Linked DNA regions of Mus musculus: region 1 is reported to be linked to region 2. The links are microRNA targets in miRTarBase. Many come from high-throughput screens and were not tested one by one. Region 2 holds a microRNA gene; the other region holds the end of a gene's coding sequence.

The links. The annotated mature microRNA mmu-miR-125a-3p reads ACAGGUGAGGUUCUUGGGAGCC and lies in region 2 at 3,528-3,549, shown strand. An mRNA with a match to its seed (bases 2 to 7 or 8) in the 3' UTR can be bound and repressed. Matches are read on the target gene's strand: a 7mer-m8 pairs with bases 2 to 8, a 7mer-A1 pairs with bases 2 to 7 and ends in A, and an 8mer does both.
Region 1: miRTarBase lists Rufy2 as a target of mmu-miR-125a-3p. Seed matches in the 3' UTR shown: 8mer at 1,554-1,561 and 7mer-A1 at 418-424.

What each region holds. Positions count from the first base shown.
Region 1 is chr10:63,009,200-63,015,652 of GRCm38, reverse strand. Rufy2 (RUN and FYVE domain-containing 2) reads right to left here. Exons shown (of 18, transcript NM_027425.4): 16 at 6,249-6,297; 17 at 4,158-4,235; 18 at 1-4,063. The coding sequence ends at 3,920. It overlaps Hnrnph3 (heterogeneous nuclear ribonucleoprotein H3), which reads left to right. Exons shown (of 10, transcript NM_001079824.1): 10 at 1-989. The coding sequence ends at 15. Among named protein-coding and RNA genes, the nearest start is that of Hnrnph3, 11 kb to the left of the region's middle.
Region 2 is chr17:17,827,328-17,833,780 of GRCm38, forward strand. It overlaps Mir125a (microRNA 125a), which reads left to right and starts at 3,485; the gene lies at 3,485-3,552. Spaca6 (sperm acrosome associated 6) reads left to right here and starts at 3,648. Exons shown (of 9, transcript NM_001162909.1): 1 at 3,648-3,935; 2 at 4,732-4,812. The coding sequence starts at 3,677. It overlaps Mir99b (microRNA 99b), which reads left to right and starts at 2,861; the gene lies at 2,861-2,930. It overlaps Mirlet7e (microRNA let7e), which reads left to right and starts at 3,025; the gene lies at 3,025-3,117. It also overlaps a transcript of Has1 not described here.

The DNA.
Region 1 (6,453 bases), not on the chromosome of region 2:
CGTGGGATGTACTGACAACACCACCCCAACGTACACGTCCTAACACACCTGCTCTACTAGACTTTCTTACAGATTTCATTTCTTTTGTATTTCAAGAACTTTATAACGACTGAAGGAATGTGTTATATTATTTGGTAAAGCAACAGACTGCGATGGGAAAATCTGTTTTCTGTAGGTTGTTTCATTTGTTGCATACTTTGACTTAAATAAATTTTTATATTCAAACCACTGATGTTGCTACTTTTTATATATAGGTACTCCTAAAGATGTGCTGCCTTCATAAGATTTGGGATAATGTATCTTACTGTTAGCATAGTGCAGTGATAGAGGGCAAGACAGCGAGTCTTAAGTAGGCATCTAGGGTAGCACTACCTTTCACCCCTGGACATACTGTAAATAAAAAGCCTAAAGATACGTTCAGGTGGTTTCAGGAACATAAGCTAATTCTGTATTCTTTTCGGTCTCTTTTATCAAGCATAGCTCTGAATAATTCAAGACGTATCTGGATTCTAAATATTCACAAATTGTATTATGAATGGGGGTAGGGGTATAAAACCCTCATAGCACTTGACTAAGATACCAAAAATGGTTCCCAAAACTTGAGTTTGTTGGAGTAGTTTGAAATTCTTAATAATGACAGAAAAACTCTGTAAATACACGGGCATTTACTATAATGGGTATATGCTTACTTGTATTTTCAGTTTCTCACCCAAGAAAACAGGGTCTTTATAATGGTATAAATGACTACATTTAGGAGACTATAAAACAATGCTGTAGCTGGTTTTGCGTCTGAAACTGGCTTTGAGTAGTTAAGTGCCCTGTGTAGAAGGAAAACGTGCTTTCTACTAATCTTTTTATTACTTTGCTCAATAAGACTTTTCCCCAAATTGGCTAATGGATCAAAATGAACCTGTCAGTGTGATCTCAGTTATTGAGTTACTTGTTTTTTGCTAGATATGTTATTAATGTAATAAATGTCAACATGGGAATGTTGTCTGTCCTAGAATATGTTGTGTTAGTTATTGGTATCAAGTATCACCATGCCTTTAATCCCAGCATTTGGGAAGCAAAGGCAATATACTGTTGGATGCCAAATTGAGGTTTCTGATCAAGTAACTACAAAGGCGTGATTTTTTTTTCCCCCATGCTAAGAAGAGAGAGTTGCCACAGCATGTCACTTGGAGCCTGTCGGCCTGAAACAGTGAGTTTCTGTCTTAATGGGTTTAACTTGGTGCCTGCACACCTCGCACAGAAGTCACAAGCACTTCAAGCTTCTTACATCTCAAAGCAGGTGGCTAAAGAGTACTTCAGTAGGTAGAGTGGTTAAGAGTACGTGCTGCGGGCTGGAGAGATGCTCGGCGGTTAAAGCACTGGCTGCTCTTCCAGGTCCTGCGTTCAATTCCCAGCAACCACACGGAGGCTCAGCCCTCTGTAACAGGATCTGTTGCCCTCTTCTGGTGTGTCTGAAGTCAGCTACAGTGTACTCATATACATAAATAAATAAAGAGTACTCGCTGCTCTTTCAGAGGGCCGTTTGGTTCCCAGCACCCACATCAGGTGATCAGCCTCGCTTAAGTCCAATGCCTTTTCCTGGCCTCGTTGGTCACCTGCACACACATGGCACACATTCACACACACATAAGCAGATACAAACAAGTCTTTTAAAGCAATATAAGTAAGTGTTAATTTCTTAGATCTTCGATTTATAAAATTCACATTTATTTTAAAAACATTACAGATCAGAATTACATTTGCAATTCCTTGGCACCATGATCACATCTTTGTGGTAGTACTGGCTAGGTAAGTAAGGGAATGACACGAGTTTTCTGCAAAATAAGAATTGTGAATGTTATGTAATAAATAGGATATCCTAAATTTAAAGTTGGGTGGTTTTATGTTTTTTGGTGGTAGTGCTGTGAATTGAGAATCCAGGCCCTTAATAGCCACGATAAGCAACCATTCTACCACTCAGCTCTATTCTTATCTCACACACAGCAGGGGAACTCGTTAGTGCTGCTCCAGAAAAGGCCCATGTTTATGACACAAATTTTGAGTGGTAATAAAAAGCACATAATAAAGTATTTGAAGTTTTTCATTTACACTCAAAAAAAAAAAAAGAAAGAAAGAAAGAAAGATGCTAGTAATCCCCATCAGTACAAAGCAGTTAAATTGTCTCTTTTTTGTGTGTGTGCCAGCAGGTTTTCACTATATATATATATATATATATATATATATATATATATATATATATATATATATATATATATATACACACACACACATACATACATACATATATATATATATATATAATGACATCTGGGGTTGGGAGAGTAACTGAGTTAGTAGAGTACCTGGCCAATGTGTACAAAGTATCAGGGGCTCCATCCCCAGCACCACATACAAACACTCAACAGCTGTAATCTCAGCAGCTGGGAGATGTGGAAGTCAGGCAGTTCAAGGTCTTCCCCTGCTGCACACCAGGTTGGAGGCCAACTTGGGGTTTCCCTGTCTCCAAAAGAAACATCTAGAAATCTGTCGGAGTGAATTTAAGTTGACCACAGAAGCTGGTAAATACTGGTTTTGTAATTTTGGCAATTTACAAAAACTTACTGAAATGTAGCAAATGAAAAGATCCTGCAGAAAAGGGGATCAGAAAAATACCCAGTCACTGAGCAGTGTTCTTGGGAGTGTAAAATCACTAGAGTTTTGAAAGGCTTTATAGACTTAAAAGTATAAGGCTGGAAATTAATATATTAAAGATCCTATCCTAAATGGTCATGATTTAAGTAACTTAATGCTCCGTGTCTCCCACACACACCCCCGCTTGAAAAAATAAGGAGCTACTATCTAAAGTACCTAATACACATAGAGGGTGAAATTCTACTGTGGGCAAGCGTAAATATGCCAGTGTAATGCTTCCTAGAAGTTATTCTTAAGAGAACTGAGGGTGGAGAAACTTAATTCTTTCATAGCAGTCCTCTTAATTTTAATGCTTAGAATCAATCTTTAAAGGCCTGTGGTCTCATTCGGTCCCCTTGTTCCCTGGGTAGGAATGTTTTCTCCTTTGGAATCTGACCCTTTATAAAAATTAGTATTTGTGATAAGGATGATGATTATAAGTGAAGGAAAAGCTAGAGGCCAGACCACTGGTCCTTTAGTCCACTATATGAAAGATGTGGGCAAGTAAAAAGGAAAGGAAGGGATTAAATCATTGGTCTTTTCCATTGTAGAGAAGGGAGAAGAACAAGCAAATAAATACAACTAAATTAGCATCTTACCAGACAATGAAGACTACACAGACCTGGGATGGAAGCACACACCTATATCCCAGCACTTCAGAGCTTAGGCAAGACAGCTTATGGTAAAAAATAAACAACTTTGATTCAGTCTGTCTTCCTGGACAGTCTGGCTGTCCTGACTGGAACTTCCTCTTTCTACCAGGGTGGCCTTACTGAACTCAGATCCATCCACCTGCCTCTGCATCTAAGTGCTGGGATTGAAGGCGTGGGCCACCATTTTAAAAACCGTTAAATCGGCATATAACATAAAGTGAATGCATTTCCAGTTTTTCTCTGAGAATTGTGACGCTTTCTAAAGTGCATTAAGAGACAGGCACCTTCAAGTGCCTACTCATCAGTTCAGAAGCAAATAAGCTGTGGCCTTGTTCTCAAAAAGGCCTCTATAAGGTAAGGCAAATGTGCATTAGCTCTGCTATCTGACCTTTTGTTAAAGGTTACTTGATAGTTGAAGTAGTGCTAAAACATGCTATCTTAAAATCTGATTAAGTACAGGGACGGAATACTAACCCATATAACTTAGAAACCTGTTTGTGAGCTGGAGGCAAGGTACAGTACTGACTGGGCACACAGCCCTCCCTCGCTGCAGGTGGTGCTGTGCAGGAGAATGGAGTTCCAAGTCATGGCATGTTAGAGGAGCATCTCTGAATGAGCATTGCATGGCAGGAATCACAGACTCGCACTGGCTTTGGTGAAGAAGGCAAAGGCAGCTCGTTGTCAGAGCAGGCATTACAGAAAATTTCTCCGCAGTTTCTACAGTGGTGCTATTAAATGGAAAAATCCGGGGAAAATAAAACCAAATTAGAAGCCATTTTTGTTGCCACAACGTTTGGAATCATTTTCACTTCTCTTACCTACCTTTCTTTTGGAGAGTGAAAATTCCTTCTCACAAAGCTTACAGTGGGTTGCATCTTTGTCTTTTAACCAGACCAGTCCCTAATATGGAAAGATGAATGTTAATGTTCAAATCAATAACACCTGCTCTTACTTCAGAAGTATGAAAATAGAAAGGCATTCTCCTGTGCACAATTCCTGTGACTCATTTTCACCACTTATGTTCAAAATGAAGGAAAGAAGGCACAAGGCTCAGACAGTAGCTCTCAGAGTTACGTCAGAAACTCGGGACATGCCTGGACAGAAGCGTGTCCAGATGTGGGCAGGGGGCCTGAGTTGAAGACAAAATAATGAACAACCCAGCTTCTACAGGGAACAGTTGATAATGTGCTGGGTTGTCACCGAATGGTAACATTCTGGTCCGGAGTAGAACACCGGGAAATAAAATAGCTGACAGGCAGTTGGCTTCTGGAGAAATGATGAGGGTGGGTGCACCTGGAAGGCTGTGGCACTTCTTGGTCTCTGGGTACAGGGCTCTGCAGGGAAACCCTGCCTCAAAAAATAATAGGGGCAGGAGAGACGGCTCAGCCACTCTAAGAGCACTGACGACTTCTGAAGGTCAAGTTCAAATCCCAGCAACCACATGGTAGCTCACAACCATCCGTATTGAAATCTGATGCTCTCTTCTGGTGTGTTTGAAGACAGCTACAGTGTACTCACATATAATTAATTAATAACAGTGTGCTCACATATAATAAATAAATAAAATAGAGAAAAGTTCAGGACAGCTATAGTGTACTCACATATAATTAATAAAGTAAGAATAGAGAAAAGTTCAGGCCAGGTGTGTGATGGCATATCTTTAATCCCAGCGCTCAAGAGGCAGGAGGATCAGCCAGAGTTACAGTGAGACCCTGTCTAGGCAAGAGTTTATTGAGGGCATGTAAGGAAGAGATGAGTTGGAGTGAGCAAACAGGTCCCACCACATCCATGCACAGTGAAAAGACATGTCACAGTGTGGCTCAGTACAGTGTTTATCTAGCATGGGCCAGGCCTGTTCAGTTCCGTTCCCTGCACTACAAAAGGGGAACGTGGTAAAAATCACATGTTGCTTTGGGTACAGAGCTAGATGCCAGAGGAAACAGCTATAAGAATTGGGAGCAACTCGGCTTTCATAATAGCAGGTTAAAGGCAAAGGGGAGCTAACACTTCTTGTTTGGAATCTTTTTAGAATGGAGGGGTCTAGGGCAGAGGCTCATCCATTAAGAGTGTTTCTGTTCTTCCAGAGGACCCAAGTTCAATTCCCAGCATCTACATGGCCATAATCTTCTGTAACCCCATTCCAAATTAACCCCTTCTTCTGGTCTCTCTAGGACTATTTTTTACCTAGTTCGGAGTACTGGTATTACAGCAACAACATAACCTAAGTTCCAGGACTTTTTGGATGACTTTTTTTTGTTCTTCTGTTTTTCAAAACAGGGTTTCTCTGTGTAGCCTGGAATTTGCTCTGTAGACCAGACCAGGTTAGCTTCAAATTCACAGAGATCCACCTGCCTCTAGTGCACCACTGCTCCATAGAGCATTTTGATTAAAAAGTTAAATGGAGTTGGGCATGGTGGTGCACACCTTTGGGAGACAGAGGCAGACAGATCTGTGTAAGTTCAAGGCCAGCCTGTTCTACAAAAAGTTCCAAGATAGCCAGGACCACACAGATAAACCCTGTGTGTGGGGGTGGGGGTGGGGTGATTAGAAGTAGAAAGCCATCACTGACTCACAGGTCATAGGATTCTCTCAGGCACCACATTGTTAAAGCAGCATTGTATTCATCAGAAGCCTTTTCTAGAAGGACATGTTGCTACTAAAGTAGCATTATAGTATCATTTTTCACCAGGATCATTATACATCCTTTAACAGGTAGTAACATTTCCTTCAGTAAGGATGGAGAGAGTAATGGGATAAAAGAGTGGCTGCCCCACCCACTCCCCTACAGGGCTGCCAGCCCTTAAATGTCTGATGCTGAGACCAAACCACAGGCCCCCAACACCCCATTTCCAACCTTCCAGGGTTGCCAACTTTAAAAAGCTTTCAACTGTACTCCCAAACCTGATTACTCACCTGTAGTGCTTTGTTGGCTTCTTTTATATCGTCTATTTTAAGTTTCGATCTAAAAACATTACAAATGGGTCCAAATGTTAGTATGCTTGTAAATACAAAACACCTAATACTTCACAGATTACCAATCTCTGACTAAGGGGATATTTTGTTTTGTTTTCTAAATGTCCTAAAACAAAAATCAGTGTTTGAGATTTCTACAACTTAA
Region 2 (6,453 bases):
GTGAGTCTGCGGAACCGGAGGGGGATGGGACCTGGGCCGGACTCCAGGGTCCCCAAGGGAGGAGGCAGCTAGCCTGGGCCTGGAATTCTGGCTTCTGGCTTGGATAGCGAAGTGGTGGTGGTGGTTGTGGTGGCGTGTGTGTGTGTGTGTGTGTGTGTGTGTGTGTGTGTGTGTGTGTGTGTGAGGGGGGTGGTGGTGGTGGTGGTTGGGAGGGAGGGTGGAGAGCTGGGAACCCAGACTTCTGAATCTTTGTTGGAAGGAGCTAGAGACTAGATTCTAGGGTCCCCGGGTTTCAGAAGCTAGAAGGATCTCTTAGATTCTAGAGGGAGGCTGCAGGATCCCAAAGTGTAAGGGACCAGATGCTAGAGACCGCAGGGGAGGTGGAAGAAAACTGTCTGGCTTTGGAGGTGCCTCCAGCGCCCTAAGGGTTAACGTCTGGCTGGAAGGGAGGGGGAGGGGCAGAGATGGGGCTGCGGGGCTTTGCGGGGTCAAGGGTGAGCCGTGTGAGTGGGAGGGTGCCAGGAGGGGGAGGTTGTCTGGGCTGCCAGACAGACCCGGGTCAGCGCCTGGGGCAGGGGCTGTCTGGTAGTAGAGAGGCCCAGCGTCCAGGTTGCTCTGAGGACCGGGGATTCCGGGTCTCAGCTTCCTCTTCCCTCAGGGTCTATCTTCCAAGCCGTTGCCCAGATTCCACAAGCCAAAGCCCTGGTTGCGGTCTGCCCAGGACCCAGGTGTCTGGGTCACCCATTTCCTTCTTGCCTCTGACTAAGGAGTCCACTCTCCAGCCATCACCTCCTGCACATAAGCATAGGCCAACCCCAATCCCCTCCTCCTTCAGAACCCAAGAGTCAGGGCCCCAGACATTTTTCTTCTTCTCTGCCTGGACTGGGGCATAGGTGGGGGGCTCCTTCCTGAGAACCAGGTTTCCCCCACCCCTTTTAGCCCCAGCTGGAGTCCAGCCCTCCAGGGGTTAAGGGGGCGGGACCAGTTGGTTGCTATGGTGCCAGACTGTTTGGGTCTGCTCTCTGACCCTTGGGGGCTCCCTAGGGTCTGCAAAGAGGGGGAGGGGACCCATGCCCAGGGAGAAGTCGAGCGCCTACCCCTTCCTCAAAGCAAGCCTGTGAACCCAAGGGAGATGCACCCAAGCCTGGGGCAGTGACCTTGAACCAGTTCGGAACCTTCTCTGTGAGCCTCAGTTGGCCCTCTGAAGAGAAACTTGCAGGGTGTGTGGAGAGATGTTCAGGGCTGGAGAATCTTAAAGATTCTCCCTTCCCTGCTTTCCCTCACCGCCCCCCCCCCCTCAGGCCCCAGGCAGCCCCGGGGCATGCTGGGAACCCAGGCCTGGGCTCTGAGCCAGGTTGGTTGGGGGGGGGTGGGGGGGCTCCTCCCTTCCCCTTCCTCCCCACCTTGGCCTGACTCTCGCCCCCGCCTGAGGGTCTGGGAGGTTGGGAAGGAGGGAAAGGAGGACTTGAGCTCAGGCCGAAGACTGGTCTCAGGTCCCCCGCCTCCTCTTTTGCTTCTCCGCCCTCTTCCCGCCTCTCCTCCCCCTCCTCAGCAGGTCGCTACCCCGGCCCAGGGCCCCTTCTCAACCCACCCCCACTCCATCCCCACTCCACCCCCATTTCCAGACCTGGCTCCGAGCAGCAAGGGGGAGGGAGAGAGAGAAGAGAGAGAGGGAAGGAGAAAGGGAGAAGAATGGGGGGAGGGGATGGAGAAGAGGGAAGGAGAAAAGAGAGAGAGAAAGGGAGAGACCCCGGGAGGAGACTGGAAGATGGGAGGAGGGTAGAAGCTAGACTAAATAAAAAAGCAGGGAGGAGAAAAAGAGAGGGAGATAGGAATCCAGAGAAAAAGAGAGACAAAGCCAGGGAAGGAAATGAAAGAAGATTGTGAAAAAGAGGAAGAGACTTGAGAAGTAGATATAGAAGATAGGAGGTGAGGAAGAGAGGTGAATGTAAAGAGGGTCAGCTAGAACAGAGACAGCGGGAGGAGCAGGCATTCAGATATGGGCGAAGAGGAAAACCTCATCAGGGATGATACAAACAGAGAAAGAAAGGGAGAATAAGAAAAGAGCAAGGTAAGAAAAAATGGGTGGAGAGAAAGAAACAAGAAGACGGACATGGAACCTGGGAGCCCCAGAAGACCAGTTCTGTGCTCAGAGCCTCAGGGTGGGTGCAGGTCCTAGGGCTCCTCCCACCTGCCGACAACTGACTTTGGTCTAGTGGCTTCCCCTCTGGGGGCTCCTGTGTGCTGGGAGCGACCTCATTTCTGAGTTGGGAGGTGTTGAGGAGACAGGGTCCTGGTTGGTGTCATTATTCCTTGACCATAGCTATCACCCCAAAGGTTGAGAATGGTTTTGGAAAAGATAGGATTATTCCATGAGACCCATGAGGACTTCTGATACTCAGAAGGCCTTTAACTCAGGCCTGGGATATGAAACCTTTAGGGGTTACAGAAGGGGCTCAGATTGCCAAGACAAACGGGGATACATCCTTTCTGCAGTGCAGAAGTCAGGTCTCTAACCAGATTGTCTTCTCTAAGGGATGTGCCTGGTTGGACCCTGAGTCTGCCGGGGAGGGCTATGGGGTGGAGGAGAACTGTGAGGGTTAGGGACTGAGTCCCTGGGTCTGGACTGAGGAGAATTGAGTGCAAGGCGGCAGGGTCTGCTTCCCTGGATCTGTGGGAGGGAGGGCTGTGACCACTACCCCTTAGTCTAAGGGAGGAAGCTTTGGGACTGAGGGAGGAGGGCTGAGGTCTGGATCTCTGGCCTTGAAAGAGGGGGGCTGGGGCTTAGATTTTGGGGCTGGGACTGAATTCCTGGGTTCCTTGGGGAGGAGGGGGCCGGGGGCCCGGACTCCTGGGTCCTGGCACCCACCCGTAGAACCGACCTTGCGGGGCCTTCGCCGCACACAAGCTCGTGTCTGTGGGTCCGTGTCGGGGGCTCACCATCGCGGCTGGGACCTCCCCGGCCCTCCCCACCCTCCCTACTTCTGGTCTCCCATCAATCCATCTGTCAATCTGCCCACCTGCCGCGCCCCCCGGGCTGAGGTAGGAGGTTGTATAGTTGAGGAAGACACCCGAGGAGATCACTATACGGCCTCCTAGCTTTCCCCAGGCTGCGCCCTGCACTGGAAGGGGCCGGCGGGGACCCCAGGTCCACACCATTGCCCAAGAGTTCTTGATAGGAGCTGGGGTGTCTTCTCTGTTCACATTCTATCCTATCCCTTTTCTTTGCAGTCTCTATGCCATCTTGAGATTTTCGAATTTTCTGTCTCTGTCTCTTATGCCAATGTCTCTAGGGTTCTAGAAGCTTCTGTTTCTCTAGTGCTGTGAATGTATCTCTGTGACACTGGGTTTCTGAGCTTTTTGAGGCATCTCCTGGTTCCTTTCTATCTTCTGGGGCTTAGGGTATCTGTTTCTGTCTCGCTTCCCCGTTCCCACCTCTGGGGAAAAGGGTTTTTCTGGTCCACCATAGCTACACTGCCGGCCTCTGGGTCCCTGAGACCCTTTAACCTGTGAGGACGTCCAGGGTCACAGGTGAGGTTCTTGGGAGCCTGGCGCCTGGCCCAGCCACAAATTTAGGGATTTCAGGTGACCCCTGGCAACCTTCCTCTAGCTGGAGCCTGATGCTTGACCATCATTTGAAACTCAATCTCTGATCACAGGCTCCCCCTCCCCCACAATGACCTCACAAAGGTCACTATCTTCTCCTCAGACCCGGAGACCCTCTGTTATGGGTCTTATTTCCTTAGTAGGGAGCATTGTCCTGTTGTTCCTGCTGATCTTCAGGGCATCCACGTGGGCCTGTCTCTTCTGCTTCACTACCTATGAGGAACGCCTCCGTGTCTGCCAGCTGTTTGTGGGCAGAGAGGAAACCAAGATAAACCTGTGCAGAAATGAGCTTGAAGGGGCTTTTGAAGATCTCAAAGACATGAAAATCAGTGAGGAGCCCCTCCTTCCTGAACCAGGGCCCTGGGGAGGGGAAGGAGATTCCTTGAGCTACTCCAAGAAGAAAAGCCAAGTACAGGATCATGACATAGACACAGAGAAGAGAGACAGGTGGAAACAATGGAAGGAAACAGGTCCAGAGTGGGGTGGAGACAGACAAAACAGTGCCTCAGAGAGAGTCTAAAGACAGTAAGGGAAAGAGATGGAAAAGTAGAAGCATTGCTCAGAGAGAGGATATGGATTGGGAACACAGATGAGTGGGGAGATTAGAGACCTGGAGAGAGGGACAGAGAGCTAGGAATCAATCCAGAGAGATGAGAGACACACAGAGAGTAAGGTACATAGAGATAAGACAGGAACAGAGTCCCAAAGTGAGGGACATAGGTATAGATACAGAGAGTAGTTTCAGGAAGAATAGAGAGACAGTGATCTAGAGATAGGTGGGACAGAGACCAATGGGGTTGGAGTAAAGATGTAGATGAGGAAGCAGATCCAGGGTACCAGGTAACAGGCCTAGAGAGAGAGAGATTAGATGGATGGAGAGATACCAAGATTGAAGGTTTAGGTTAGGGTTAGGGAAACACACACACACACACACACACACACACACACACACACAGAGAGAGAGAGAGAGAGAGAGAGAGAGAGCTCTAGGTGGGGCACATAGAACAATAGACTGGGGCTATAGAATCTGGGATGATCACAGGGCTTGGAGATATTCAGCCATGAGTGGGACATAGAGAACACCATGGAACCAGGTTTGTGCCATGGTGTCTCATCTACCTTCAGACTATGATGAGAGGAGCTACCTGCATGATGAATTTACACAGATGACAGTTTCTCTTCAGGAGAAGGCTGCTAGACGACGGGGTGAGTGTTTTATGGGCATAAGTGGTGGGGAAAGTCATCTTGAGGAAGTGACCCTGGGAACCTGTCTGAGTTAGGTTATTTGTTGAGGAAACTCCAGAGATGAGGGGAGTCAAAGATGGCAAGGAACTGAGGGAAGTAAATAAGTCACAGGGAGTCTGAAGCTTTTGTGGGGTCAAGTACATGTGACCTATCTGGGATTCTCACTGTCAGGACTCTGAAGCCTGGATGTGTTCCTGCCTCTCAACCTGGGTTCCAACTACTCACCTGTAAGATAGTAAATTTCTTAGGCTCTCAGATTGAGTCATTCTTGTCATCTCTGAAGGTGGGACATTCTCATCTCCTAGGGTGAGACATTCTCTTTATCTCCCAGAGAGGTCGGAGCTCATTGGGAAGGAATGGTTCTTTTTTGAGATAGGTGTTATAGAAGATATGATCCCTTCAAACAAAACACACACACACACACACACACACACACACACACACACACACACATTGCTCATGGCTAGTGAAGATAGGAAGAGTGGAGCTAGCCATTCAGGGGAAGACATAGACATAGTCAGGGCCAGACTCTTCCTGGGACATTAGAGAACACCATACACATGTAGCTGTATGGAGCAGACATAAGGATCTGAGGACATGAATTTCAAAAAGATGTGATTAACACTAATCACACCAGATGCTCCCAACTGCTGGGCACACAGTCTCTTAAGTATATTAGATAGGAGTATTATAGCTATGTGAGAATTCCTTTTTGTTTGTTTATTCAATTAAAGGATAAATTGGCCATTCCCACAATCTGGGAGTTCAAGGCTTTTTTTTTTTTTTTTTTTTTCCTCAACTACAATGGTTCATTTTGTTCCCACTAAGTTTTATATCAGAGGCCCCCCCAAACAAAGAAAGGGACCATTTATTCAGGAGTGTCCAGGACTATCCAGAATTTTCTGTGTGTCCAAAGAAAAATCAGAGGAACCTGAGAGATGGAAGGAATGTAGAATGCTGGGATATGGATACTGTTGTTGACTGGACATGTCTCCATATTGAAAACTTGGAAAAATAGACCAAGGGTAGCTTTTGGGAGTAGGAGAGCTCTTTCTAATGTGAGACAGATTTGGGGGCAGGTGAAGGTTCTGGTTAGAGAGGAGGGGGTCTGATGCAGATCTGAGGCCATAGTGAAGAGGAGTACAACTGTCTCTAGATCATGCTCCTGTGGAGTACTACTGTCTCTAGATCATGCTCTTGTGGAGTACAACTGTCTCTAGATCATGCTCTTGTGGAGTACAACTGTCTCTAGATCATGCTCCTGTGGAGTACAACTGTCTCTAGATCATGCTCCTGTGGAGTACAACTGTCTCTAGATCATGCTCCTGTGGTTAAGCATTGGCCCCAGATGCTTCATTTAGATCCAGCTTCTTGACTCTGGTACTTCTCCTTGTAGATGAGCCATAATGTACCATGCTTTAGTTAATACTTCTAACTCCCTCTTAACAGTTTCATAGACACATGTAGTTTGGTTTTACCTTCCATGCTCTGACAGAATACCTGGTAATCAGCTTAATGGAACAAAGGTTTATTCTTGATCACTGTTTGAGGGTATAGTCCATCAGGTCAAGAAGACATGGCAGGAGTGTGAGGTGTCTGCAC